2 linked regions of the Daphnia pulex genome follow. The protein of the gene in region 1 binds, or shares a complex with, the protein of each later gene. Links are inferred from orthologs where the notes say so. Each region holds a gene or a part of one and is shown in the gene's direction. Other genes may lie near its edges. The genes, in order: protein dispatched homolog 1-like and sonic hedgehog protein A-like.

Region 1 (14,689 bases):
TGCTCGGCTCGTTTCATCACGGGCCGCCCATGAAAAGAAATTGACGACTGGAGTTGCCCGCCGCTGTGACACGACGGCAAACTTTTCATCCATCGATCCGCTCCGATCTCAAAGTTGCGGAAGGGGAGAGAAAAACCCTCCGACGGAATTGGTTTCTTTTTTGATAAGGCAACCGAGCAATGCGGCATCTCGGTATTTATATCCATCTCTTTATATGATATCTGTCGTGTCTGCCAGTGCTCTATCTCTCTGGCTGTGGCTGCATTAACTATTCCACTCTGTGTGGCGTATAAAACCTGGTCCCGGCGATCCCTGTAAACCCAGTTCCGTCGTCAGGGATTTGGCGGGTGGGGGGGAATCAGAACTGTACATTCTGACAGTTAAGAGTCGTGTGCAGTGCAGAGTTCGCTCGGTTGAACTTGCCGATGGATTTGAAGCGCTGGCCGATGCGACTGGAGATGAGAGAGAAAAAGACGGACGTTTGAATTTTGTAATTACCTTCGATTCTTTTTTTCTTTTGTGTATCCCGCAGTTTGTTGACGATGGACTTTGGACCATTACAAGTCTGAAAATCAGCCGCCAGACTCCATGTCCATCATGAACTGGTAAGGAGAAACAAATTAATCATTTTCCTTTGACAATTTATTGCGTGTGATTGTGCGTGGCCGTACCCAGTCGACTCGAAAGTTGTCGAGGAATTGGAGCGTGAGGAGGTTACACCCCTTCCTGAAACTCGTGCATCCGCCTTGTTTGATGTCTTGTGCACAGTTTTTTCTTCTTTTTTCCTGGAAACGTGAAAGATTGTCAATGAGATTTGCTTGTCACGGGCCACGTCTGTGATTAGTTTACGAGAGAGAAGACGTCAGTGAAGAACGTGCAATCAGTCGATCCTACTGAGCTGGCCTCATGTCTCTGTGTGTGTTCATGTGCCCACTCAAGCCGAGGAAGGTCGACGTTGGCGAAAATCTAATTATCTTGTTCCCCCTCTTGCCCGTCCGCCCGCCTGATGTTTTGGCGCTGTCAGTTACGGACGGATCCTGTCGGCCTATCCAGCAGCCGTGGTCTCGGCCGTCGCCACCCTGTCCGTCTCCTGCCTCATCGTCGTCTTCACTCTCCACTCGCTTCCAGATTTCTCCGATCCGCAATTGGTGAGTGATGCCGTGATCAACAATCACGTCCATTCCTTTATTATTATGGAATTTTTGTTCTCCTTCCGCCTTTTTCTTTTCCCAGCGAAAGTGTCGGAATCCCGACGACTTTGTCTTTCGCCGACCCCGTCCGCCGTTAAGTTTTTGACTACGCCAATGGCGCTCAAGCGTGAACATTCGTTATTATTATTAGGTAGTCGGGACCCATTTTATTCTCTGCGCTGGCCATTTATTAGGAAGAAATTCTCCGTGTAGAATCGATCCATTGGATTTCCCGTTTTTATTTTATTTGTTATTTATTTTTGCACGCCGAAATAAGTTTCTCGAGTAATAAAACCAATTACCCACATCCACCGTTGCCAGCAGCCCAGGCAGCCGCCAGTAGCATCCGCAGCAATCCAATTCGGGATCGGCTGTGCTGTGCTGTGCTGTGCTCGAGTCCATTTCAAGCAAAATTGCGTTTCATTTCTGTCAAGTGACTCAAAACGGCCTTGGGTTACCCCAACGGCGATTGCCATTAGTCGTCGCGTTGGTAGTGCTGGTGCTGGTGTGTGGGGCTGCATTTCAATCCGGCTGATGGTGGGCTGGGCTGGCCCGTTTCTGTGCGCGTGCTATTACGTTCCGACCCGGCAGCAGTTAAAAACTTGCAAGTGTTTCTTCTCATTTCATTTTCCCTCCGTCGCTTGCCATGCCAACAATATGGGTGTCCGTCCGTTCCCATATTCCCCCTCCCCTTTTTTTATTACCGGCTTCTTTTCCTTTTTCCCGCGTGATGTGTGAGGAAAAAAGAAAAAAAAGTCCCGGACTGATTAAAGACTCCCGGGTCCTTTTTTTCTTTTCCTTTTTACTCTCCATGAAGCAGATGGGAATTATCTTTCGAGAATTCCGGATACACACACTCCTTACAATTCTTCTTACTCGGCCTGCTTGCGTCAATGGCATTATTCCGGCATCTCTCGAGGCCAGACGAGATTTGAAATTTCTCGTCCATTTCATCGCAATCGCCTTCAATGCCTAATTTACCGTGTACGGCTTATTTCCACTCTCCGCCCGCTTTGGAAAAATTTCTTGTGTGTGTCAGCTGGATCCTTTCGGGCGACAAAAGTCAAATGCGCAACTCGCCAGTTTCTCCTTTTCCATCCCCCCTTTTACTTTCCGACATGCAAATGGCGTGAATTTTATTTGAATTGTCTGCACTTGTGTTTTTCTCTTTTTTCAATTTCGGCTGACGTGACGGGCAACGCGAAGGGGTTCGAGTGCCGCGGAACTACGTTATCACGTCGGGCCGTCGCCTGGGAAAATCTTTTGCGGGCCAGCCAGCCAGCTGGACCTCTCAGCACCAATCCGCTCGAGTCGACTGTGGCGGCCGGCACTTCCGCCGTGTCGTCGCTCAAGAGCAACGACACGCCCCGTAAGAAGAAGAAGAAGCAAAAGTGAGTCCTTATTTGCATGTAAACATCTATAGTGCACATCTACAAGACATTTGATTGTCATTTTGAATGATTCACATTAGAACGAAATGGCAGCAGTCTGAGCGGATCAACGGCAGCGACTCGACAAGTTCCGTGTCGTCGGCAATGTCGTCGACGTGGGGATCGGTGCGGACGCGGAGCAACAGCCTGGACCAAGACGGCCATCGTGAGAGCAGCAGCAACCAAGCCAAAGCCAATCAAGTCTGGCCGTCGCCGCAGACGAATAAATGGCAGACGAAAGCTGCTACTGCAAGTGGTGCTGCTGGTGGCCAACAAGTCCAGCAGCATCCATTTGAAGTTCTGCGCGGTCTGGAGAGCAGCGGCGGCTCTAAAGACGGGCAGCCGGCCAATCACAGTCATTTCCAGTGGGGCGAATCCGTCACTCGCTCACCGGCTCATCCCATCCGACACAAGTAAAAACAACAGTCCATCACGTTTGCTGGACGTCAAGTGTACCACTACATTTCCTTTTTCCTCTCTATGTAGACCCATGTGGAGCCAGTTGCAACAGCTGGGCACCGCCGGACTGTTGCGATCAGACGAGGACGATCGAGACGACGACGACGACGAAGAAGAAAACGAAAAGGAGACGGACCAGCAGATGACGAAAGTCGGTCATCCGTCTCACAATCGGTTCTATTTCTGCGACCAACCGCACGGTGAATACGCTCACGTCATTTTCGCTGCGGCCGGCCAGGCAACAGCTAATCGATCCCTGTGGAATGTCGAGTCGATTCAATCCATGTGCCGGCTGGACGAGCTGATGAGATCTAGTCCACTCTTCCCGGCCATCTGCCAGCAACCGGCTCATCAGCACCAACCAGCCACCGGCCAGCCACAGCAGCAGCAGTGCTGCCCTTCCTGGACGCTGGGCCACTATGTAGCCTTGATGAGGAATCGCTCCACGTGTGCCGATCTCGACGCCGACGACGTCACGGCGGCTTTCAACATTCTCCAGGCTTGCTCCCGACATTACCACGGGCTCCAGCTCTCGCCCAACTGCGACGCCATTGTCCAGGAAGGTATTAAATACAGTAGTAGTACACGTGTCGTTTATATTAGATGTACATTGTGGCCACCGGCGACGGCCCACCATTGTTTGTGTGTGTTGTTGATCCAAGCTGGGCTTCTTATTTTCTTTGTGGCGATAGGTTATTCCAGTCAGCCGGACACTGCGGTGGCGGGGGATTGCGGCCGAGACGTGCCTGAAATGTGTACTCGCCACAATGCAATTTTTCATATATTCCACTATTTAACGGACGCGGAATTTTTAGTGGACGGCCAGCCGCATTTGCGCTACGCCGCCGTTTTCCTACCGACGGCCCGCAGCACGGCCCTTTTGCCCTTTTTCCATTGGCTCAGCAACTCGGCTGCTGGCCGCGACGGAGTTGGAGTCTGGCCGCTGGCCGACAACTGGACGCAAGTTGTGGCCATGGACTTTGGCTTGAAGGAGGCCCTTTTCAACGAGTACGTCATCCGCGACGTCCTCTACCTCAGCGTCGGCGCCGTCCTGGTCTGCACCTGCATGTGGTGGTACACGGCCTCGCTGTTTCTCACCTTGATGGCCATCGTCTCGGTCGTCCTCTCGCTGGCCGTCGCCTATTTCGTCTACACGTTCGTCTTTGAATTGGATTTCTTCCCCTTTATGAACCTCCTGGCCGCCGTCATTGTCGTCGGCATAGGAGCAGACGACGTCTTTGTCTACGTCCAGGTCTATTTATTTTTAATTTTTATGATTTAAAATGAAATAGTCAATTAAATTGTCTTGTTTTAAATTTAAAGGTCTGGCGCTGCGTCAAGCTGGACAAGGATGGAACCACCCTGGCCAAATTGGTGATGGACACTCTAAGTCACGCCGGACTGTCGATGCTGGTGACGTCACTGACGACGGCGGCAGCTTTCTTCTCTTCTTTCATCTGCCCAGTGACGGCCATCCGGTGTTTCAGCCTTTTTGCCGGACTGACGGTCACGATCCATTTTCTCTTTATGCTCTCATGGCTGCCGGCCTCGGTCCTCTTGGCCGAGAAATACTTTTCCGGGCCCGTTTGTCGCCACCCCGGCACAGCCAACGCCGCCACCGCCACTGCCGACGCCAGTAGACGGCCGGGCGTGCCCGTTTTTGTCCTCCATCCGTTTCGCAGCTGCTGGCGCACCACTAGCGATCTGGGCCGCATCACATTCGACAAGATTCTGCCCTGCATCGTCGTCAAGTTGCGATGTGCGTAATTTATATTGAACTGATTTGTTCCAACTGTAATCAATCCATGATCATTTTGAGTTATTCATTTTGCAGATTTCTGGATTGTCGTTTTGGGCGGATTGGCCGTCGCTGCTGGTGTCGTCGTCTTCCATTACCCGAAATTGGAATTACCAGACACGAAGGAATTTCAATTATTCTCATCCGACCATCCGTTTGAACGGTGAGGCAGAGCCAAACAAAACTTTTGTACCCGTTGGCAAATTTATTCAATTTAATTATTTATCCTAATCCTATTTCTAAACAGATACGATTTGGAATTCAAAAACGAATTTTGGTTCGAGCGCTCGCAACGGGCCGAATTGCTGGCCAAACTGCCGCTGCGCTTCGTGTGGGGCGTAGTCGACGAGGACAATGGCAACTCACTGGACCCGTCGTCCAAAGGTTCGCTGGTTCTCGATCCTTCCTTCAACATGGCCGCTCCCGAGTCGCAGGAGTGGCTCTCGCACTTTTGCAAGGACATCCGCGACCAGCCCTTTTTCCAGCCGACGCTCGGCCCGCTCCTGCCCAACTGCTTCATCGAAACTTTCCAATCTTGGATGGACAGGCGTTGCGAGGTGATTGCTGCTCTGCTGCTGCTCTTTCATTAGCTGATAACAAACCAAAAAAATGGGACTCTGGGATAAGCCCCGCCCCCCCCCCCCCCTTGGCCCTTGACAGCAAGATAAAAACAATTGGAAGGGGGAAATCCAAAATGTCAAAAAAGGAAAAAAGTTTTTTCCCGTTTTCATTTCGGCCCAGCCCAGCCCCTGAACAAAAGAATCCCGTACAAGTCCGTCGGGAAACTTGAGGCCAATCGATAATCATCTCCTCTCTCTCTGCTACTGCTGCCGGGAACAGGGAGAGGAGGGGGTACAGTGTACTTTTGACCCGCGTCAACTTTGAACCACGTAGGCCGGGAGAGTTGCAAAGTCCACAAGAATGAACCCCTCCAACACCCTCAATTCGTGGGCAAGGGGGTTTCTCTTTTATTCTCACAAGTTGCCATGGAAATCCGCACTGGCAATCGGGCAAAAGGCCGAAAAAGTTCCCCCGAACGAACCGTTAATGAAACATTTCTACCATGCCCAGGGAGAGAGGATAACTCTATAGCCACCCCCAAGTTTTATCCGCTAGTCTCCTTGTAATCAAACTGATTAATTCTCACGTCTTATAACTTTTGTCTTTTCTCTTCCGTCAGGATTCGGTGGATGGCAAGAACAGGACGCCGTGCTGCGAAGTCTCGACATTCCCCTACAGCGAGCACGTCTTCAACCAGTGCATCCTCCTGGCCGTCAAGGATCTCTACGAAACGCCGGCCCAATTTTTCCTGCCCGGAGTGGCCGGGCCGAGATTCTCCAAATCGACGCAGCGACTGGACGCCGTCGTCGTCGAATACGACAGTAACGTCACTTTCTCGCTCTCCTACACGGAAATGGACGCTTTCCGTCGCCAAGTTGACGACTGGATGGACGGCCAGCTGGCCTCGGCTCCGCCTGGTATGAAGGGCGGCTGGTTCACCAGCGATTTGGCCTTTTACGACGTCCAGCGCAGCTTATCGGCCGGCACCGTTCACGCCATCGCGCTGGCCATGGCCATCGCCCTGGTCGTTTTGATTGGCGCCACCGGCAACCTGTGGCTGAGTTGCCTGTCGGTCGTTTGTTTGACGAGCGTCGTCCTGGTCTCAGTCGCCGTCCTCGTCCTCCTCGGCTGGAAATTGAACATTCTCGAATCGGTTTCCGTCAGCCTGGCCGTCGGGCTCTCGGTCGATTTCACGCTCCACTACGCCGTCGGCTATCGGCTCAGCGGCCATGAGACGGACAGGGAGTCGGCCGTCGTTTTCTCACTGACGCGGATGAGCAGTCCCATCGCCATGGCGGCCGTCACGACGCTGTCGGCCGGAGCGGCCGTGCTGCCATCTAGCGTCATCGCCTACCAACAGATTGGCACTTTTGTCGTCGTCGTCATGGTGACGTCGTGGATCTACTCGACGCTCTTCCTCCCGTCGCTCCTCAGAGTCTGTGGACCGCAGAACGGATGCTCCCAAATTCCCTCGTCCTCCTGTCTAGGCTCTGGCTGCTGCTGCTGCTGTTGTTGCCCAGCTGGTCCGACCCAGCACGTCGATAAAACCGTTTACAGTTACGGACTGTCCGAGTCGACCCTGTCCACGTCCAGCACCTCCTGTCCTAATCCCAATTCCAACATTTCCACTGTCCATTGCGAGACTCACGAACTGGAACCTCTCACGTCCAGCCATCGTGTCAAAGCCGTTCGCTCGGCTGGCAACAACCGACCACGATCCGGAAGCCTAGTGGCCGCCAACGACCATCACTCCAGCGGGTCTACCACTGCTGCTGCTGCTCCGGCATCCGCCGCCGTCACGTTGATTCAAAACGGGCGGAAGATGAGGAAGATTAGCCTGCCCAGCACGACGGCCCTGCTGGTGGCCGAAGCACATGATCACCACCGCGAGCCCCAAGTCGTTTGCATAGAAACTCTCAACTCGGACATGTGGGCGGCGTGAACTAACGTCGTGAATATTTAATTTCAATATTTATTTCAATGAAACTCCGTGTTGTTTTGTTTGTATTTTTCAATCCAGCGCTTTGATATTATTTGTTATGGTACCAAACTGTTGACGTGTGAAATTGAAAAAGAATCGATGGAAGGGCTGACACTGTTATAAATAGTGCTGCTGCATTCACTCGTGCTGGTGGTGTTGATCTCAAATACACACAAACTCATTTGACTTGTTATTACCCAGTGATTCAGTCGGGTCGGCTCTCTGCTTTTTTAATATGTTTCCCCCCCCTCCACTATTTTTAGGAGCCGACCATTAACGGGGGGGGGGGGGGGGGGGATGATGGTCATTTGATTCCGGAATTTAGGTCGACACGTGCAAAGACTTTGGTACTACAACCAAACCACATTTCCCCCATCCAAAAGGCGTCCGGAATTTTATTTTGTCTTTCATATTTTTTCAGCTGAAAGAGACCTTCGTCCCCCCTCCCCTTTTATTACAGCCCCACACATACGTACGTGTGTGTATATCCTTTGATATTTATCTTTAATGTTTATTGCTCCCGGGGGGAAGGTGCTCTGTGTATTGTGGGGGTGGTGAAGGATCAAGGGCAATCATCTCACCCACATGTTGTGTAATCGGTTGTAAAGTGAATCACAATCATGTGCTATTGTCGCTGCTGCGGTTGGTAAAGACGAGAGAGAACAAACGGGCAGTTTTCACGAGTGAACGGCGTGATCGTTGGCGTGACCACAAGTCCGCGCTCCCGGACTTTTTTGATGAGCCGGCCAAGTGATGGGCGCGTGTGGTCCACAATGCAACAGTTACATTTCCCCTTATTTCAAACGACAAAGAGAGAGAAAAACCTTTGAATATTATTTTAATAAAAACAAACGAGAGAAAAAGATAAAAATAAATGAATTGAAGAAAATGGAAAAGCGGATAGATGAGCGCGTGCGCGGCCGCCAGAGATACAAAACAAGAGAGGCAACAGTGGGAATATCTTTGTGACATTTTTAGGAGCCAATGGGATCGATTGAAATGACACCACGCCTCTGTTCTAGCCCCCCATCTCTGCCCATCTGTGATGACGATCATCGCCTCGAGTGACAACTGCTCGCATTTGACAAGTCGAACAAACTGGCGCTGGCAGCAGCGCACGAGTATCCAAGTCAGGCCAGGCCAGTCTCTCTGCCGACGACAACGTGCCAACAAGTCCCTTTCTCTCTCGTCTCCCAGTCCAGCAACTCCCCTCAGAAAAAGTTCTTGACAACCTCGTTCGTTCCTTTTAAGACTTGATTTCAATTTTGACAGATAGAAATCGAGACGGTTTGATCGTTTATTATATTCTGACGGAAGAAGAAGAAGAAAAAGTTGTTTTTCATTGTCCAAAAAAGACGAGACAATAATTAAATAAGAAAAAAGAAAAAAAAAGGATCTTTAACCGTTTTAAATCTGGCGGCCTCCGTGATCACTAGTTCTGTCGTGTGTTACCGGGCTGCTCTCCACCGGCGCCGGTCGTCGACTGCCTCCATTGCCACCGCCGCAGCGTCGGCTGCCACCGGTGGCTGCATCAGCAACCAGACCGGGCCAGGACCCAGGGACTGGTGCATCCTTTCGTTCAACTACCGTCGTCCCATTATTATGTGTTCGTCATCCGACGTCGTCCCGCCACCACCCACCACCACCAACCGACGCCTCAACCGACGCAGTCCCAGCCCCACCAGCAGCAGCAGCTCATCATCCACAGAGTCCAGGACAATTGGCAGCAGTGGGTTGGCCGTCAAGTCGCCCAGCAACAGTCTCAAGTCGATTGGAGGAGGACTGGACCATAACATTTCATTGTCCAGCAAGAACTCGTTGGAGAGCATCTCTGGCCATCGTCGTCGTGTGGCTGCTGCCACCGCCAACCCCTCACCCGTTCAGAGTCTCGAATCGCTTCAGCAATGCGATGACAACGACAATTTCGTCTCAAACAGCCCAGCACGACACAGCAACAGCAGTTCCAGTTCCAGTTCCAGCTCCAATTCCACCAGCACTCACTTTAAATGTCGCAAAGCCTTGGGTATTTTATTTTATTGTTTAAATGTTAATAACATAAGAATTGATGTCGAAATTATATAATACGCCATGGCCTTCGAATGTCTCATTTCTTTGTCTCTACCTGTCTGGTCTTTTTTCTTTTACTTTACCCTCCCCTTTGAATTTATTTTCTCCCGGGGGCTTCCTTTTATTTCTACCTGAACTTGCCGTGATGTCATATCGGCGTAATCTTTTCCTTTTTTTAAAAAACCAAATTTTATAATTTTTCTATTTTTAATTCATTCAGGAACGCGACAGGGAGAAGTGCAAGCGATTCGGACCAAATATCCATCAAAGATTCCAGTAAGTGATAATAAAAATTTTGATTTCTTATTTTGCTTTTACATTGATATGAGAGAATAAGAAAAAAGCTTCCGGGAAATGATGGATAATATTATTTAGTTGAAAATCCAACGATCGCTTCTGTCTTGTACGTCTGGGCCGTTTCCCGACTGAGTTGGGGCTGACCTCATTCATGAGATTGACACTGTTGTTTTATGTGATCAGAGGGGCGATGTTATATTTTGAAAGGGGGGATTATTATTCTATTATTCATTTCTTCCACGGAAATTTTGGTGTCTCTTCTTTGAAAATTCGATCCATTCAACAACATGGATCATCATAGTCATCGTGTGTTATTGATCTCGGGATGATGATTATTTTCCTATTTTCCGTTTGGCTGGCCCACCTAAGTCTCATCTTTGATTCTCTCAGTTCAACCCAAATGTCTTAACAACTTTTAATTTGTTTCGACAGGTGATTGTCGAGCGTTTCGATCAGGAGCTGTCGCTGCCTCACCTGCAAAAGAGCAAATTCCTCGTGCCGCAGGAGCTGAGCATGTCGCAACTCATCACAGTTGTTCGGTAATTCCATTTGTTTTTGCAACAACTCAATCAAAAAAACTGATTTTATCCTATTTTGTCCTGTTGTTGGTCATCCGCTTAGCAACCGACTGCGACTCTCTTCGACGCAGGCCATTTTCCTGATCGTCAACAACCGGAGCATGGCGTCGCTCTCCAAGACTGTGCACGAAGTCTACCGCGAATATCACGATCCCGATGGATTCCTCTACCTCTCGTATGCGTCACAAGAGGCTTTCGGCTCCGACTCGGTGACGTGACCACAGGTGACTCATCATTTTCTTTCTCTCAGATTAATGAAAAAAAACGACATTAATGACAACTTTGGCTTGGGGAAATGACTCCCACGAGCCATCCAGCCCGGCACCCGTTTTCTGTGTGTCCATATTCTCGAGAAAAACGATTAGCTGTTATTACTATTTGAGCCTGTAGCTACGTAGGACAAGGTCGATTAGGGACTCTGGCTATATCTATATTTATCATTCTTTCTCCTTTCAACAGAAATCGACCAAGAGTTTTGGGACAGTTACTGGTGGTTGCCCAGCAGTATAGCCGAACAAGGGCGGGATGTTGGTTGGGGGGAAACCTTATCGCTCTTCGCCTATTTCGAGAATGGTCTGTCGATTGGCTTGGGAAAACGGTTGAAAGGTCATCGACTGTATGTGCTCTCTGCTGACCAAAATTTTGGGTATACGCATCACTAAATGTGTCTGTGTGTCTGCTGTTGTTTGCTCAATCTATAATGGGCCCAGCAGCACAGCGAAATATGGACGGCCAAATGTCTTGACAACTGCAAACAGACACGTGTCGCATCTTTTTTCGGGGTTTCTCAGTACATAGAGACGACGTCATCATCTTCCACTTATTTCTTTTCGCCCGACCAACAAGATAATGGCAATTACATTTCGCAATCGACTCTGAATATAACTCTCAGCGCGCACATTTTGCCCAGAAAATGCTGTTGACTTTTGATAACATCACTAAGCTAGTCGAAGAAAAGGGGGGCTGCTGGTAGAGAAGACCTGCTGCACCCAAGAGAGAGGGGGGGTCTAGTTTATCAGCGAACAAATCTGTTTGTTCTCCAAATTCAAAAGGCATACCTCTTGTTCCAATTTTTTAAATTCCTTTCTCAGCTTTAATCTTTTCTTTTATGAATTAAAATTTATGAAAGGAACTTGAGTAAACTTTGACAACTGACGTGTTATCTTTAGCAATAATCTTTCAGCTTTTTTATGATTTCTTGTTTTTCTCTTTTATTATTCACAGGCGAATAAATATGGATAGTCGGCGCGCAGTTTTAAATTTTTAATCCTCGACGGAATCAAGTCTCATCGTCCTCCGCATTCGTCACCGATGGATGCTCATTGTAGTAACACTTTTTGTTTGCCAACTGGAATGGAGTGATTATAAAAGGCCCTAAATTGAGACTTTCGTCGCGTATAGTTTTCACCACTTTTGTCTTTCTTCTAGAATCAAATTAATTAGTCTCCCCCCATCATCTGTAACGTGTCTACTCGTATAATTCCGTGTTCTAAATGTGTGTCAAAAGATTCTCTAGCATCTCTGTGATTCATGCGACGCTCTGTTCCGGGTCTGTTTTCCACCGATTACTCCGAGCTCTGAGAAAATTCAATGGAAATCCCGCTCAAGTGTTGCTGGTATAATTATAATGATTCTTTTTCCCCCCTATTAAAATCATCCAGTTGAAAGTCAAATTGAGGTGAGAGAGAATATCATCACCATCATCATCCGATTCATCGCGACTATGTATGGATTTTTTAGTTTTTTCTTTCCCCCCTTAGCGCCGGACTTTCTATGATGACAAAGTATTTTACTATATTACGTGTGTTTCATTTTTCCATGGATTCTCATTTTGTAATAACTGGGTCACCAATTTTTATTTTATTCCTTATTCACTGGTCGGGATTCGTTCAAGACAGACAGTCCTTATATCGTAAGGTTTTTTTTTTCAAATAAAATGTTTTTTATTACTGAATAAATGAATCGGAGATTTTGACTTGTTACATGTGTCCTTCAAACTTCATTCTTCCATTTTTTCCGTATCTTATCAGGAAGAATTCCGGGAACGCGCTGATAGCGCTGAAGGTGTCTGCCAATTAATAAAATATCAGATGTCAATACAAAACCATTTGCGCCTATTTTAAGGAAATTATTGCGATAAAATCCATGAGACAGTGCCGAATAAACGGAAGACAGTGCTCACTCCCTAGCGGAAGAAAACAAAAATTCGGTGATTCCTATGTCAAAATTATATTTCCTACTTTCTAATAAATCAGAGGCATTCGTTTTCAAATTCCGATTTACGTATTTTCTAGAGCAGACTTTTCAAATTCCCGCGTAGAGCGCATTGGCAAGAAATACTACAAGTACATTTGGCAATGTTGAATGTCGTCTGATGTCGTCTGAACTTGGTGACAAATTATTTTGAGTTTTGAGTTGTGAGCTTCTGACCACGTGAAATACTGGAATCGTTTTCCTGATAGCTTTTCAGCCACTATTATTTAATTTGTCTTATCCTTTTGCTGCCAAAACTATTGTTGCTAATTAGACATAACCAGTTAAACACAAAATTTGGCCATTTTACCAAACTTCCTTCGGCCAAGTGATGAAGTGAGAACAGGCCCATTCTTTCACATTTAACACGACATGTCCATGGATATTGGATACTTAGTGTAGTTGTTATGCCCTGTTTTCCACTCATCAAAGTCGTCGTTTGTTTAATGCATCATCCAGTTGATACAGGTAAAAAACAATAATAGCCTAGTCATAAATTCGTAAATACTTCTTAACATATTTAGTTAATATTCATCCAATTATAGGCAGTTTCTATTGAGCTTGGTAGATCACTAACCCCAGTGTCAACATGTATTGTCAACATATTTTTCAACAACTAATACATCGACAGACAAGTATTCTTCTACTTTTGGTTTTAAATTTTTTATTTTGCGTCATAGATTGTATTTTCTGTCATAGGGAAAACTATGGAAAACATCCTTTAGCCCATGGGCAATCTTCAGGTTTATTGCAGCAGCTTTAGAATGCTTTTGGAACTTTTCAGCAACTTTTGTCACGTACAGAAACAATTTTAAAGCAAGTAAGTGAATCGTGAAAGTTGTGGCTTTTCAAACAGTCCATTTTCTAATCTACTTTCATTCATTTTGTAAAAGCGTGTCAAAGAAGTTTCCTTTCTCCAGGTGGTGCTGCCGTGTCATGAAGATGCCTGTTCGAGAGGGTCTCTACTATATTGCAAGACAGAAATTATGTGATGAAAACAGGAAATCTGAAATGGTAATAAACTAATAATGTACTTGTATGATAAATCAAGCATTTTGTTCTTGATGTCGAAGACAAGTGACATCTTATTTTGTGCTTCTAAATAGAACTTTTGTTGAAAGTTCTTGTAAAGAGTTGAAATTTTGTTTGATCAAACAGAACATAAATTCCCTTAATTCTTAAAAACCTGAAATGAAATCTTTGTGATGTGATGATCTTTGGTCATCTTGAGTTCTTTTTCTCTAGTTGGGTGTATATTTAAAGTAAATCATTATTGGCGTCTTTATTTTTCACATTCCAAAATGTTTTTTGGTTTATTAATGTTCTTTTACTTTGTAGGTGTCCATGGGGAATTGCAGTCATTTTCCAGTTAAGAGATGTGCTGAAATGGAAATTGTGCAGACTTGCAGCGTTCAACATCATACTTCAATGTGTCATTTGCTTCTGTTGGCCCATGCAGTATATGCAGTGTTGAACAGTTGGGTAAAATAGTCAATGTCCTGTCGGGCTTATTTTATCGGCTGCGTTTTGTCGTTATGTCGTCTACCCTTGCTACAGGCGTTGAGGTAATGCTTGATGTACAGTCTCGTTCAATTAGTATGACCTTTAGTTAAAATATCCCTTCTCATTTCAGTTCAATCGTTTGCTGCCGTTCCGTTCCATAGACTTGATCCATCGGTGAACTGAGGTTGCTGAAATTCAAGACTCGTCAAGAAATTATGTAGATGTAGATAAAATTACAAGTGCATATTTGGGCTCCCTTCTTTTCTGTGGCCCCGTTTCCCTAACTAACCACTAACCAACGCCCGCCGGTGGTCACTCACCCGCTGTGAAACCAGGAGGAGGGGAGGGCTCTGGTCGAACGGGGACTTGGAAGGCGCATGATTCGATGAAAACTTTTGGAGGGTCATGAGTCTAACCCGGAAACCTAGTATGACTACATCTCCCCAGTAAAACTTGCCTCGTACTTCTCTCTTCTTCTCGGTCCAGATAAATATCTCTGGGGGCCGTAGACATGTCCTATAACAGCATGTGCGAGTTAAACAAAGCAACCCACTGCCCAATGAAACAAAAAG
Region 2 (15,476 bases), on another chromosome or scaffold:
ACACACGCAAGGAAGCTGATTGGATGCTTATGGGGCGCACTGGTCAGCCAATCTATAAATACTCAGCGTGGGGCTATAAAAAGTATAACATGTGGCATATAGAGGATGTATATACTATATTCAATGTAGTGTCGAGGAGAGGGGCCGAGGGTTTCTGGGTACACCCGAAGATATCGCCCGTCTGTATACACAAATTTGAAACAGGGCCGTTCTCTTTTTTTCGCCGGACCTTGTAATCCTGTCTAAAGGGATTAGCCATATACACTTTTCATCTGTGAAGAATTATAAAGAAGAATAAGAAAAAACAAGAAAAGCTGGGCGATATCTTACACACACTGTCGTCTGTATATGTGTGTACTCACATCTTTTAAGCCGTTTTTTTCTTTGATACCGGTGAATGGAATATGAGAAGGTGTTTCGAGGATGTCCGTCCACTTTTAGATGTATATGTACTGTGCACTTTGTGTGTATGTACATAAACACTTCATTAAAACAAAAGAGAGTCCCTTAAAAAAATGTCCCCCCCTCTACGAAAAGGAATTGAATCAAAATCTGGTGGAAATAATAAAAAAATTAAAACCAATAAATAGGGAAAAACGAGACAACCTCCAATTGTCTTCATACATATTCGCTTGATTGGGTCTTATAGTCCCTCTCTCACTGGCTGTAAAGCGCTTCACCATTTTCTTTTATTGCCTACATATATACAGTCTACAGCTTTTGATGTCTAGTATAGTAGTAGGCTACATCGCATTACGGCTGAGGAGCTGGGCATACCATAAAAATATAGATATACCCCAGTTGAGACTCTTGGCCCAGTCAGGCTGAATCCTGCATTATTAGGAGATTAAAAAGTTCCTGTGGGAAGTCTGGCAGTATTAAGAGAATGTCGGTGAATGGGTTTCTCCATCACACCCCCCTTTGATATGTGTATATATAAATAAACGCGTTATACACATTTCATCCAATGTTTATAGACACACTGTTTTAACTGCGTATAATTGTGTACGACTGTGAATATACATTCTATGCAGTTCGGATGATTTTTCGGGGTCAATCCAGTTTTGGGATAAGAATCTCACACGACTTTGTGTACGTGTACTTTTGTCCAGCCAATATAAATGTTCAAAAGTCGAGCGGTCTGTACCTTATAATCTTGGAAAATGATCTGAAGATATGTACAAGAGAAAATCCTGTGAATGCGATCCTTTTTTTATTTTCTCTCGAACTGAATTTAGCTCTGCTCCGGATGAGAAAGTTGTGATGATTTCGCTGTCGATCAACGCCGAGCTCCTGTGGGCCCAGACAGCCCTGTACGGTTTCCATCCAATATAGTTTTCCAGGCTAAATGGAGGGTATAAAAAGAAACAATAAAAGAAAATGAAAAGGGGAAACAAAACAAAAAGTAAAATAGGAGAAAGACGGTCAAAGATGCGGAAAGGATTGACCCTTGGGTATCATTCACCTGATCGGCCTCATTGCTTGAAGATTTCAAGACAAGATCCGACAGGACACACAAAATATTTTCAACCGAAAAAAAAAAGGGATAAAGAAAAAATGGGCCTGGATGATATGTGTGGGATCTATCTGGAAAAAGTCGAAACATTGTCCTTTGATTTTTTTGGGGGGCATAGGGGGGCTGTATGATATAGCGTGTACATAAATGTATATCGACTGCATGTATGTATGTATATACAACCGGACATGAATCAAATACATGCCCCAAGAATGTTGTCCTCTTTAAAAGGAGATTAGTAGCCGAAAAACGCTTTTCTTCATTTCTATATTTCTATTCCCACATCGCTCTATTCCTTTTGAGCTATATCATCGACGACGGCTCTGATATTATACCTGCAACACGGTAAAGGATTGAGAGGAAAATATTTCTTTTTCCTTCCTTCCTTTTTTTGATAATGTATATTCCTTCTAATAGGCGCTGCTGTGGTCTCTCAATACTTTGACATTTTCCCTGTGTGTGTCTCGATGGATTGTGCACACACACACACATTGACAAGCAAGTTTTGACTTGTAGCTAGCGCAGCAGATAACCCGCGACCGGATCAAAAGGCGGTGGAATGTGTCGGAAACGTTTTCTTTTCAAACCGGGCCGTGTCAAAGAGTCATCCCCCCCCCCACCCTTGGCTGTTGTTGTTATATTCAAAGAAAAAAAAAAGAAACATCAAAATTTTTAACCCCCCACAATTTTTTTACCTTAATAAATATACCGGAATCGGATAATAATTACCAGGTCCATTTTATTTATTTTTTTTAGTCCGTTAACCTTTTAAAAATAAAAAAAATTCAACCGATAATCTATTTCACTTTGTTGTGCATATTCGTCGGTATACCCCAGTGGTAAATGTGTGTGTACATGGGTGGGTGGAGGCTATTGAGGAAATTATCATTCAGTGTGCCGGGCCGCGTCGTCCGCACACACACAAGACATAAAAAGGACGACTCATAAATCTCCCCATTTTTTCCCAGTTTCACTGATGGGTGCGCACATTTTCGCTATTGGCTTTTTTCTTTTTTGTTGGGTGTTTGAAAGTCTTTATGTGGTCCGTTTTTTTTTTGTTTTCGACCTTTTCCCCTTAGCTTCTTCTTCCACAAGTCCATTTCGATGTACCGTGTGTAAATTTTTATGATTATTTAGGCAGCCGCGGAGGAGAGAGAGAGAGACAGGAGCGGGGCGGTGAGGACTATCTTCTTTTCTCTCTCTGTTTGTCTCTGTTGGAATGTCTCGGTGTTTTCCCACACACGGACACGATAGAAAAAAAGGAGAACCAGCTCATGACGGCCTCCTTCTGCGACCGAACGACAGGGGGTCGCCCAGCAGCTCGAAAAAAATAAAAAAACGGCCAGCGCGCCTATAGTCATTTCCTCTGACTATACTCTGCTCTCTGTGTGTAGTATGTGTGCCTCCTCTCCATGTCAAAAAGTCTCTTCTTCTTTTCAACTCCAGAATATAATAGAGTGTACACACATAGACATAGGCGGCCAACAACTATGTGGCCCAGATTGATATCGATAAGCGCGTTAACTCGCCAACAACACTGGGTCCTCCTGGATAGATAGATAGGCCATCCAAGTCGATCCTGTCGTCGGCATATAGACAAGCTATACGCGGGAAAAAAATAAAATAAAAGATGGGGGGGTTCTTCTTCCGGTGGTACATAAAGTGTGAAGGGAAAAGGGCCAAGAGCCACCCAACATGTCCAACAATTCAGTCACACACACTGGGATATAGAAAGGAAGAAGAAGAAGAAAAAAGAACTGGAGAGAGAATACGGGGAATCTGTTCCGTTCTGTTTTTATTTGACCGCATCTGCCACGGTCCTGTCGGGATATTTAGGGAGAAGTTGTAGATAGTATAGTGGCCAGTCTCTCCTGTGTAAACAGGCTCCGCTTTTAAACACACACAAGAAAAAGAAAAGCCGCTAGACATTTCACCTCGGGGTGGTCGACGGGAAAAAAAGAAAAAGAAAATTCGACTCGTCCATTTTAACCCCACTTCTAGATTGTGTTGCTCATCGCTGCCCGCTCAATTGTATATATATCTTTTGAGACTTTTCCCGGCCCCCACAGTCTGTGTCTGTGTTACATTGAACGTCTTTTTTGCGGCGAGCGTCTTATACAAAAGATTCCAACGGCAGAAGCGCCAAGTTCAAACGGCAGGAAAAACGTTTCAACGCCCCGTCACCTGCTGCTGCTGCTGTCGTCCGGCCAAGAATTTCATGGGGCGTCGGCGATGTATGCATAACAACTCTCTCGGCGCCTTTGGCGTGAGCTCTGGGGCTTTTCTAGAGCTGGTCCCGATCCTTTTCAACGCGCTGCTGCCGTCGTGTGTGACGAACGAATAAGGCCGAGGGGTTATGGCGCTCTTATCATCGTTCCTCTTCTTCTTCTTCTTCTTCTTGTGTTGTTTAGACTTCGTCCACCCAAAAGAAGAGAAAAAAAGGCGACCGAAAAACAACAGCAACACAAAAAAGAAAGAAAGAAAGAACCGCAACCGGCGGTCGCTGTGTGTGTGTGTGTGTGTGATGGCGGCGCGTGTTTGTGGGTGTTTGTATGTGTTTCTGTAAGTGTTTCGGAAAATCGTTTTCTATTTTCCCTTTTTTACTTCCCTATTTATTTGCGGCACCCGTCTGTGTTTGTGTGTGGGCCAGTCTCAGCGAGTTGGGTGGGGTGTAGACCGCCGGACCTTCGTCGTCGTCGGCTGGGATAGGAGAAAATAGGAGGGTCTTCCAATTGTTTCTCATTTCGCCTACATACAAACACTCTGATGAAATAACACATTTCGGTTCTTCCCGGTATATAAAGAAAGACTGTGTCGAAATCTATACCGAGAAATATATCAAGTCTCCGAGGTCGAAAAGCTGCAAAAACTTCCTTCTTCTTCGTCTTCTTCTTCTTCTTCTCGGCGATTGTTGTTATTTGTTTTGTTTTTAATTTCCGCCAGAGAAAATAAATGAATGGACGGACGCGCTGGATGAAGGATGTTTCAAATCCTGTTTATTACCGCTCTTTGGATGTGGAAATAATCCCGATCCGTTCAGCGGATGTTGACTGTGCGATTATTTAAACCACTTTTTTTCTTTTTTGGCGGTTTGGAATTAAGGTGTCGATTTTATAAATTCTAATCGATATCTTAAGTATTGCCGAATCTTAATTATTAGACGATTAGTGCCGTCTGCTATTCCTTATCGACCGTTTTACTTTACAACACAAGTACTCAAGGGCTCAAGCATTCAAGACAAGTTTGAAAAGGAGACTAATATAGTATAAAAAGATTTCATAGAAAAATGGAACGATCACTTTTTGAGATTTGTACATGGATGCACAAAAAAAATTTACAAAAATCTTGTCATCGTCATGCCAACTTTGGTGTCGCAGCTCGCAGCTTTCCATTCTCCACTCCATGGTGTTTGGCGGGTAAATATATACTCAGCAGCATGGACTCTTTATACCATGCTCAGCAGATTAAAATGGGATGGCTATGGGAGCTTAAATTGAAGAGTTAATCTTATTCCAAGTTTTTGGATTCTTACTTCCTGCTAGCATTATTTATCCCCTTGTCGATGCATGGCAGATTGTTTGCACTATATATTGTAACCTTTTTCTCTGTGCAGATTTGGGGCCTGAGCCAACCATCGTAACAGCAAAGTTTTGCTTGTGGTGGACTACAGCCAGTCATCCACCAGTCATATGATTTGACTTATGACCTCCTGCCATCAGCAACAATCACAGTATCATCGCTTAGGTAATAATTTTCGTTACTTATATCAACCTGCATGTGACCTGCCAGACTTTTAAATGATGCATGACTTGCACAAATGCAGTTTCCATTTCATTTCATGGATACCTTTAATTCTCCTGTTGATTCACAATTAGGGTATACTTCTGGTTTACGACTGTCTCAGTTTCAACTTTTCCTTGCTTGTTATTGTTTCTGTAAATGTTTTTTTTTCGTAACTCATTGTTGAATTTTTTCATTTAGATAAACAGCATCCTCTTTAATTGGATAAACTTCCAGTATCGACCGAGTTAAGGATCTCTTCAATTCCCCTTTCTTTTTTGGTCCTCGTGTACGCCCATGTGAATGTGGGTGTATTCACGAGGACTCCCTTTTGGTGGATTCAACTTCTTGCTTCAACTTCAACTTCTCTGTGGATGGATGGAGCACTTGTGGAGACCTGGCTGTATTTTCCCAGGCTTAAAGGTAGGACAAATTCATTTTCTTCTTTCCTCTCTGACTATTGAGTGGCGTTTATCATAAATCGATGCGGAGTACGATTATTCCTGAGCCAGGCCTTTGACTTAAACTGTTTTCTCTTGTCGTTTTGGTTTTTCTCAGTCGGGGCTATTAAATAGCTCACGCGTAGAACCACTGCAGATTGGGCCTGTTTTTTTATACCTCACAAATAACTTTGTCTGTGGATAAACAATCACATTCAGAGATATTTGAACTTGAAACACTTGAAGCAAAATGAAATTTGAACAATATTTTCCACCAAGAGGGTTTTGCCGCCCAACCGGCACTTCCTGGTAGAAGATTCCAAACGTTTGGAATAATCAAACATTTCTCTTCTCTGCCACTATATGTGTAACGCGTGTGTTCCGTTGTGTGTGTCTGTCTCTGGTTTCTATTTCACTTCTTCTTTCAATTTTCTAATTTTTCTTTTCTTTATATCCTACGGGACGTTAAAGCTAACAAGATTCCAGTCATGTTCTTATCATTCTTTCGCTTTTCTGCTTGAGACCTCCGGCAGAAGCCGAGAGGTTTAATTGAAAAAGCTCCGGCCATTCAAAGAGTATAAGGGGAGATTATCGCGGACCCTCTTTATATTTCCAGGTGTCTTTTGTGTACAGGTGATGTTGGGAGGGGGCTGGATTTCTTGCGAGTCTATTGATCTGTAACAACAACAACAACAGGCCTTCAAAGAAATTCTGTACATGTAGTAGGCTAGAAGATATCGTGCGGAATGATTATTTGCCGCCCAGGACGTCGCCAGACAGACTGGCATCCAATTATGGCGTAACAATCTTTCATCTCGAAAGGGAGAGGGGAGAATTGATTCGCCAATTTTTATTGCGCCAGCAACACAACCAAAAAAAAAAAAAAAAAGTTTCAATGTCAAATAGTTGTGTCGATTGTTTTGTTCCCGCTTCTCTCTCTATTTGAATTCCCCTCCAACCAAAAGAGAAAAAGAAGAAGAGAGAAAGAGACTGGTGGCATTTAAACGTCGGTGCGGGCGGTCAGGTGATGGCGGTTTGCCATCGTTTAACTTTTTTAAAAAGGAATTTCTCCGGGAAAGAGAAAAAAAAGAAAAAAGGCCGAAAGGCCGCGAAAGAGCTATTAAACAAATGGCAGCATCGACCGAAATTCTCGTTCGTTCGTTCGTTCGTGCAACTGTTTTTGGCGTTTTTTTGTTTTTTTCACGTCTGGTTTGTCTTTCACGCAAATGATTGGGGGACACTTATTATTATGTACACCTATTTATACACACATGTGGTATTTTAATACCTAAATGGGCAATCAGGGCGGCAGACGCAACGAGATGTTTCTTCTAATAACCGAAATGATTTGCTTTACAAGAAGGGGGGAAAAAAAATACCAAAAATATCGAAAAAGGCCGGAGAGGAGAGCGCACACGCACGCAACAATTTACGCGCACTCGTAAAGAAATAATTTAAACGCGCACACACACACACACCGAATTCTTTCGCCTTTTTTTTTTCTTTTTTATTTAATGATCATTTATTTTTCCTTAAATTTTTTTTTTGCCCTTTTAACGTTGAGAGGTTTCCACGGAATAAAACAAAAAGAATTTTATTTTAAAAAGAAAGAGGCCCAGGCAAAATTAATTTTTCAGCTTCGTCATTGATTTCCTTTTATTTTTTTTGTTTCTGACGGGATGGAACTCTGAGAGGTGGGCGGTGATAAGAAGAGCGATTCATAAATAATGAAATCTAATTACAGTTTTTTGAAGGTAGTACACTATAGAGCAAAAGGGCAAAATAAAAAAAGAAGGAGAAAAAATGTATAACAACATTTGAAATTGAATGGAGCAGCAGCGCGGGGGGAAAGGAATTTTAGACCCCGCCCCTTTCGTGAAGAGAAGCAACATTAGCACTTGGAAGATGTCGGTTTTTCTTTCCCTCCTGTGTATGTGTGTGTGTGTTTTGATGGGTTTTAGACGCTCTGTGTGTCGGGGGCATATAAATAGAAGAGAGACAAAAGGAAAAGAAGAAAAATAAAAGATTCTTCTTCTTCTTCTTTTTGATGGCGCATTCGGCACCTCTGCAGGGGTTTTTCTTGCCCCTTTTATTTTTATTTTGGCTTCGCTTCTTCTTGTTCCATGTGTTTTTCCTTAGCTTTTTGTTTGCCTATCTCGACTATCTTTTTCGGTGTGTGGCATCGGCTTTTATAGGTGTCCCTGCCTCGGGTAAAGAAAAAGACGGGCGCACCGGTCGGTGGAGGTGTAGTAGTGTGGTGGTCAAGTGGGAGGGATTCTTACATATCTCTCGACTATACACAACCCGAATAAGAAAATCTTTTTTTCTCTCTCTCTCTCTCGATGATACTCACACACACAAGTCTCTTTTATATACACGCACACAAAAGAAGCAGGAGACTTTTGAAATGGACGCTGAGGGCGGAGCTTGGCTCCAGAGTGGGAGGTGTCCTCAAGTCCCGCCTCTTTCTCTCTCCCGTGTACCAACTTGGGTGCTCAGCCGAAGGGGAGACTTGCGCACCCGTGAGCGCACCCCACACACAGAACCCCCCTTCTTTTTTTTTTTTTACCTTAGACACCGAACAAGGTGAAACAAACCGAAAACCAAAAATCTCTTTTCTTCTTCTTCTTCTTCCTTTTCTTATGTATAACCTCCTTCTTCGTCTTCTTCTACTTCTTGGCCGTGTGTCTCTAACTGGGAGGTCGGGTGCTGCTCCTTTTCCCTCCGCCCTGCTGTGTGTGTCTGTACGCCCAGTTGTACTCACCGGTGGGGACTTTGGAGCTCAGTCCGTCAAGACACATTGTTGTGACAACATAGATCCCAACAGCTCGACCAAAGAAGAAGAAAAAGTTCTTGTTCTTTTCAAAATATTATTTAAAAGAAGAAGAAGAAGAAGAAGAAGAAGGCACCTGGAGACCCTCCTCAATTTTTCGTTGTATTCCCTTTTAGTGAATGTTTTCACCTCTAGACCTTTCATACCCCCCCGATTCTCAATGACCCACCTCTCCGATCCGATCCGCTCCTCTGCTCCTCCAGCGTCACCTTATTCCTCCTCCTCCTTCTCCTCCTCCTCCTCCTCTTGGTCGACTGCTACTACCCCGCCTCCGCCGTCTCCTCCAGCTCTGCAGACTCACAGAGTGCTGGTGGTTCGGTGATTTGCTGCCAGTTCCATCACAGATACCTCATCGGCCGGTGTCCAGAGATCGTCTCTCCGCGCTTCCTGTCGGATAACCCACTACTTTTGACCATTTTTTATCCTCCTCTCCACTCTGGTTTTTTTAACTCCCCCAACAACAAATTTTTAGAAAAACCGAATTTTTATTTCTGTCGAAATTTTGGAAAAATTTTTTTCTTATTTTTTTTTCCGTATTTGTCAAAACACAAAAATTTTTTACAAATTAAATTGGCCCTCTGCTGACGGCTGGGCATCGAGAGATGGAATGACACTCTCCCAAGAGCCGATGCCGTTTGTCGATCGTGTCGAAACGTCCGCGTCTAGACACCAACCCAGCGCACGATCAGAGATTTATCGGCCCGCGTCTATTCCTCGCTGTTGCCTCCATTGATTTCCCCAATTCCCCTTTTTACCTCGATCCTCATTGGTGATTTACATATCGACGGTGCCGTCGTCGTTTCATTTCGTTCATCGGGATTCCCAACCAAAAAAAGTGCTACTCCGTTCGGTTCCCAAATATTTTCCGCAGTGTTCAAACAAGCGAATTGAGAAAAAAGTCGAAGTAAAAATTAGAAAAAATGATGGCGTCGTTCGTCGAGTGTTGGTCCAGTGCTGGAAGGCCTACGTGCTCATCAGAGGAGGCCGGTCACGTTCGGACTCGGCGGCGGCGGATAAGCGTCGGCGTCTGCAGCGACTGTGGCGGTGATGGAGTCGAGCGTCCAACCCAATCATCCGCGTCGTCTTGTTCCTCCTCCACCACCACCACCTCCGCCACCACCACCTCATCACGACGCCCTCACAGCAACAGACGTCGCTCGCCCGGCTCGTCATCTTCGTCGGCCGGCTGCTGTTACTGGCTCCTGGTCCTGCTGGTGGTGTTGAGCGCGTTGCTGCCGTCACCGGCCACGGCCTGCGGTCCCGGCCGGGGTGCCAACCGCCGCCGGTCGCCGCGCAAGTTGACGCCGCTCGTCTTCAAGCAGCACGTGCCCAACGTGTCGGAGAACACGCTCGGCGCCAGCGGACTCACCGAGGGCAAAATCACGCGCGACGATCCCAGGTTCCAGCAGCTCGTGCCCAACTACAACACGGACATTGTCTTCAAAGACGAGGAAGGAACGGGAGCCGATCGACTCATGACCCAGGTAAATGTCGCATTTTGGGTGATTCAAATATTCCCGCCCTTCTATTCTAGCTACATATATCGATCGAATTGGAAGCCAATAGGCCTAATCCGTTTTGCGGGTTCAAAACCTTCGGTTGTTTTATTTAAATGGTGTCGCCTACCTGAAACCACACCGTGAGCCGTTGTGGTGGTGGTGGTAGACCGAGACGGCCGAAACACAAGTAAAAAAGAAAACACACACGCGATTATATAGTTATAAGTTTTTCCCTTCCTCTCGTCGGTTTTTTATGACTGTAGGCTATATGTATAGGCTTTTGTAGACGACGACGACGAAAAAATAAAGAAAAAAGAACCAGCGGCCGGAACTGTTATGGCGGTATCCGATGGCTCCAAATAAGCCTCTTATGGGTTTTACTTTACACGGCAACCAACCAACTAAAGGAGGGGGTGGGGGGGAATAAGGTTTTTCGTTACTCCTTTGACTTGTTATAATTTTTACCCCCAAAATATTTTTTGTTTTGAAAGTTTGTCTTTTGTTATTTTGACACTGTGCGAAAAAAAAAAAAAACCCACACACACACACACACACACACAAACAGTCAGGGAGATCCGTGAATTTTCTTCATAAAAAAAGAGAAAATTTCTTCATTTCACACGGCTGGAAATCCAATTATACAGTGGCACAAACATTGGCGGAGACCCCGTCCATGTAGGAGTGACATGTGAGATGAAAAGAGAGAGAGAGAGAAATCAGGTGTGTGTATACCTTTTTAACCATCGCCAAAGATATGCCCGTCCTAATTAAAAGCCTTTTCTTTCTTTCTCCTTTCTCTATACACATACATATATATACTCATATTTTTATATTGGTATGAATATGTACTACTCTTGTATTGATGTGTACGCACTACCTGAGAGGACAGATTGCCCCCATAGAGTTTAGCACCGGTCTCGACTTCTTCTTCTTCTTGAAGGGGAGGCCCAGAGATTTCTCCTTTTCCCATGGCCACGGTTTAAAATAGAGACAGGTGACAATTGGTTTTCTGACTCGAGAAGATCATTCACGATCCCCAGACATAAAAATCCAAATTCCCCCCCAAAAAAAGAATAAGGAAAAAGAAAACAGTTGAGGAAGAAGCCACCCAATTCGACCGCCGATAGTTTTTCCCACCCGAATAAATAAAAAAGAGGTTTAATTGCGATAAATGAGAGTCGAGAGATGTATAGTCTTATGATATCTATAGGCGACAATCATAGCCAATAAATAATAGAGATGGGAAAAGGCTATTGGGGCTGTGTGTGTGTGTGTGTGCCAGGGCGCGGTGTTCATTCTTGTCTTTTTGGGAACTTGATGTGACTTTTGAAAATACCTCGCTGAAAAGCTTTTGATTCTCCTGTCATTGTCGTCGTCTTCTTAAGAGGCCCCTGATGGAATTCCCCCCCACCACCAACCGCTCTCCGCCCCATTCGAAAATGATATGGTGAGACACGGAAAACAAAAAGCTAGATGGCTACTCTCTCTCTCTCTCTTTAGCTCTCTTTGCCCGGCTGGCTGCTTGGGGGGCTATTGGCTATTGACAGTAACACGTCGGCGTGACTGTCACCCAAGTGTCAAATGGACCTCTCAGCTTTTTGGGCAAGAAGGGTGGGGTGGGGGGATTCACCTAAATAACAAATCAAATAAGAAATAATCAAGAAATCTTTGACAGACATTCGAAAATTTCCCTTTTGTTTTCTCTTTCTCTAAATCCTGGCGCGCCCAATTCAAAACAGATCAATTCTCAAAAGTGTTGCATCAAATGATTCAATCACTTTCTCTCGATATTTAAGTTATGAGAAGAATGCGCCACGATTTCTTTTCAACTTAAAAAAAAATGTTTTATAAGACATTTTTTTGGGTTGTGTACATGTACGTATTCATCGCGTCGTTCTCCATGTCTTCTGTTGTTATTTGAACCCCCCCGCGCAACGGAGAGAGAGAGAGCTGGGGCAGTCGCGGGTGGGTTGCCCTTTTTCCTGCCCGGTCCGATCGAGAGATTCGGTTTCACCGCAAAGTCGGAAATGTTACGGCACCAACAAGAAAGAGAAGCTCTCCATTTTCTTAACGGGAGGGAAGAAAAAAGAAAACATTATTTTTGACTTTGATTTCAAAAACCAAAGAATTCTTTGCCCGGAGAAATGGACTTGGGCGTGTGACGTGTCCTCGTATAACTTTTGGCCGGGCACGAGGAAACGTTACACCGAAAGTTGTTTCTTGTCGTCGTCGTCGTCTTTTCCACGGCGTCTGAGAAACCCTCCCGTTTGGACTACCGGCGTGCGCTGGGTCCGCAAGTCGGCGACAATTTCCGCTTTCATTTCATTTCCTCCTTTTTTGATTTTTGTCGGATGGGAACCGAATCCCGCGTGGGCGTGGTCGAAACTCGGTCGGAGATTTATATGTAGGACACGCATCACCTACATGAGATTGGCGGCTCAGGAAGTTAGTGAGTCCGTGTCAAGACCCACCAATAAAAAACAAGAAAGACAAAAATGGCGACTTTTTCATCATTGGTGGGGGGGCCAGAAATTCAGAGTTGATTTCGGACATTTTATTGAGGCCAAAAAAAGAAGAGTTAACTTGTTTGAGCAGAATTAGGTAGAACTGTCATGTGGGGAAAATAAAAGGTAGGTAGTTTCTTCTTCTACTACTACTCTAGCCACTAAATGTACATACATATACGACTGGGATATGTGCTGTATACCTACAGGGTGGGGTTATACCTATAGACACACACAGAGATACTCTTCCTTTTTGGCGTTCCCATGCCATATCCTGGGACTTGTTCTTCTTTTTTTTCTGACTTGTTCTTCTTCCCACAAGATGCGGGACAGAGATGGACACACACACACACACAAGTGTGTAGTGTGTGTGTGTGTGGATGATGCTGGCCCATTTTTACCTGTCGTCTCGTTGTCTTTCACAGCAGAATTTCGCTGCCTCCTCTGCGCCCTGTTTTTTTTTCTCTTTCTTTTTCTTTTTTTAAAATTTTATTATTCCTCATCACTTCGAGGTCCGTTGAGGGGAAAGAAGAAGAAGAAGCGGGTGCACAACAAATTCCCACGGCCGTGTGTTGCCGTAGCTTTTTCGTTAACTTTTTTCTTCGACGGTAGTGGGGAGAGAGGAGTGAGAAGAAAAAGAAAAGAAACATATTGTCATAGACCGACGACACGGTCATGACACGGTTCAGAGTTAGACGAACTGGTGGCATTTATATGGCGCTATAGGATCCGGCATTCCTCTAGAGTGTGTGTGTGCGTGTGTTTTTTGGGGGGGCTTGACATTTTTGAATTTTTGCGCGCTCAATTTGGTTCGAAGGCCAAAAAGAAGTCGCCTTTTTTTCTCACAGACACTTTTTGAGAGAGATACCATTAGATAGATAGTCGCCACCCAAACGTGCCACTACTATATACCGCCATTACACAGTCTCGTTTCTTTTTTTCCAGCTGTAACTTCTTCCTGTCCTTATGGCACTATAGCGCAATAGCTTTATAGTGACTCCTTCTAGTGTACATTCATTTTGATTCGGTTGTTCAAGATCGACTATACCATATCTATCCAGTAGGATATCGATCAGAGGGTATACAAGAATTCTCCTCGGTGAACCCCGGTGAATAAGAATTCTTCTACCTCCTTCTGGTATTTTTTTGTTTTTATTTTCTGGTCATTCAAAAAAAACCTTTCGGGGTAGTGGTGTAGTAGCTGTATGTATGTATATAGTGGCGCAGGGACAACTTTTGTTTATGGCCGTTGTTATTCAGTCACGGTGAGAGAGAAAGAAGAATCTTAAGGGTGATGGAACCAAAGTTTGACAGGACGTTTTAGCTTATAGTGAATGTGTCTCTGTGTGTACATACATTGGAGGGGGGGATATTGTACACGGTATGATGCACATATATCTACACTCTCTCTCGACTGTTATTGTCTCGGGCCAAAGTTCGCATGGAAACTCTAGACGAAAAAGAAAAAGATGCGCGCGCAACATTTCGAAAAAGGGCAGCAGCTCCTCCTTTTTAATTCTTTCAGACGTTTTTTTTCTTTCGGGGGTGAGTTGTTGTTTCTCTTTCAGTTTTTAATGGCCAGCCTCCAGCAGAGAGCAGTTCTTTTTATGCCGTCGTGCGCGTTAGAATAGTTTAAACAGAAGAAAAGAAAGAAAAAACAGCAGACTACTAGACATTTTGGTTTCATTTGCATTTAAAATTCCCGGTATTTTTTCTTTCTCTTTCCTAGTTGAACGCCAATTGCGAAATAGTATCCTTATAGTATAATCTCTATATGGTCTGGTTCAGAAATATTTCTCCTGTTTGCGGTGTTGTCGTTTGAAACAAACTCTAGTCGCCACCTCGGGAAAAACCGCAAACTTTTATACAGACAAGAGCGACGACACTATGTTGTTTGTTTCCTTTTTTCTTCACATGGAATTCAGACGGACCTCTCGGGCTTGATGGAACTCTGACGCTCCATCAACCGAGTGTCTTGTCTTCTTTGTAAAAAAACAAAAAATCAAAAGAACTTTTATTTTAAAAAAGAGTTTCTTTCGAAACAGGTGAAGGTATTTAGGCCGATGGAAAGGGTCGCACAATCGCGCAACAAGATAAAACTCGACACAAATGGAAAACGAAAAAATTTTTTAAGTTTAAGAGTTCATCGATCACCAGAAAGAAGTTGCGCACGGCAAAGATAAAAGAGAAAAAAAAATAAAATAAAAGGCGACGAGGAAAATAAATTTGAGAAAGAATAACGTTGACGTCATCGACTCCTCAAATGTCAAGCTCTTCTTTCTCGGTTTTGTTCGTTTTTTTTTCTTCAATTTTAACATCCATAACTCTAACATAACAAAACGTTATGGCGCATAGTAGCCGGCCATATATATATTGTCCGTCTGCGCATATTATACCGACTACCTACAAATGACCCAAACTTCCCTTATAGCTGCTTCTTCTTCTTTTTCTCCCCCCTTTTTTTTCTCTTCCTTGGCCGTGTTGTGTCCTCCGCGTGTCATAAACACCCGGTCCCGAGAGGACCTTGCCTCAATCCGTAAAGGTGTATATCAGAGTGGTAACAGTAGCAGTTGTTGTTGTTGCCGTACAACACTACCCAAAAGTGAATGAAATGAGGGACCAGCGAAACCCCTGGCCGATCGATTCCGGAAGCTAGTATTATATATATACTGCTGTGTCCATCATATAGTTTATAGGCTCTCCTCTCTGGGTACGAGGTATGGTACAAGGTATCTAGGTACTACAACAACATAAACACGGTAGAGCCGGATGGATCTTGAAATTTGACCCGAGTACTATATAGAGAAAAAGAAGAAGAATCAGGTGTTTTCTGGGTTTTCTTTTGGCTGGTTAGATACGCGCAGGTTAGATTTTTATTTTTTATTTTCTTGCCCTTTTTTCTTT

What was found.
Region 2: the proteins of protein dispatched homolog 1-like (region 1) and sonic hedgehog protein A-like are in contact, whole or in part, in a cryo-EM structure (PDB 6TD6), measured with the Drosophila melanogaster proteins. The link is inferred for Daphnia pulex from reciprocal best matches to the Drosophila melanogaster genes disp and hh. Residues at the interface, in NP_524734.2 of Drosophila melanogaster: His77, His78, Arg250, Tyr253, Glu296, Ala404, Gln405, Ser406, Asn407, Arg408, Gly434, Asn755; in NP_001034065.1 of Drosophila melanogaster: Tyr100, Pro101, Val103, Leu104, Lys105, Gln106, Thr107, Asn110, Leu111, Ser117, Glu164, Lys165, Val168, Ala228, Gly229.

Annotation. Positions count from the first base shown.
Region 1 is NC_060022.1:92,503-107,191, forward strand, and holds the end of protein dispatched homolog 1-like, read left to right. Parts: 5' UTR 1-192; intron 193-532; 5' UTR 533-588; coding exon 589-605; intron 606-1,024; coding exon 1,025-1,148; intron 1,149-2,396; coding exon 2,397-2,581; intron 2,582-2,661; coding exon 2,662-3,033; intron 3,034-3,106; coding exon 3,107-3,642; intron 3,643-3,771; coding exon 3,772-4,331; intron 4,332-4,402; coding exon 4,403-4,838; intron 4,839-4,913; coding exon 4,914-5,040; intron 5,041-5,124; coding exon 5,125-5,434; intron 5,435-6,057; coding exon 6,058-7,380; 3' UTR 7,381-7,605; downstream 7,606-14,689. Other genes in the region: putative protein TPRXL, read left to right, coding at 9,022-9,442, 9,707-9,762, 10,216-10,322, 10,405-10,579. UniProt on the Drosophila melanogaster protein: Segment polarity protein which functions in hedgehog (Hh) signaling.
Region 2 is NC_060017.1:3,420,952-3,436,427, reverse strand, and holds the start of sonic hedgehog protein A-like, read left to right. Parts: upstream 1-7,283; 5' UTR 7,284-9,489; coding exon 9,490-10,053; intron 10,054-15,476.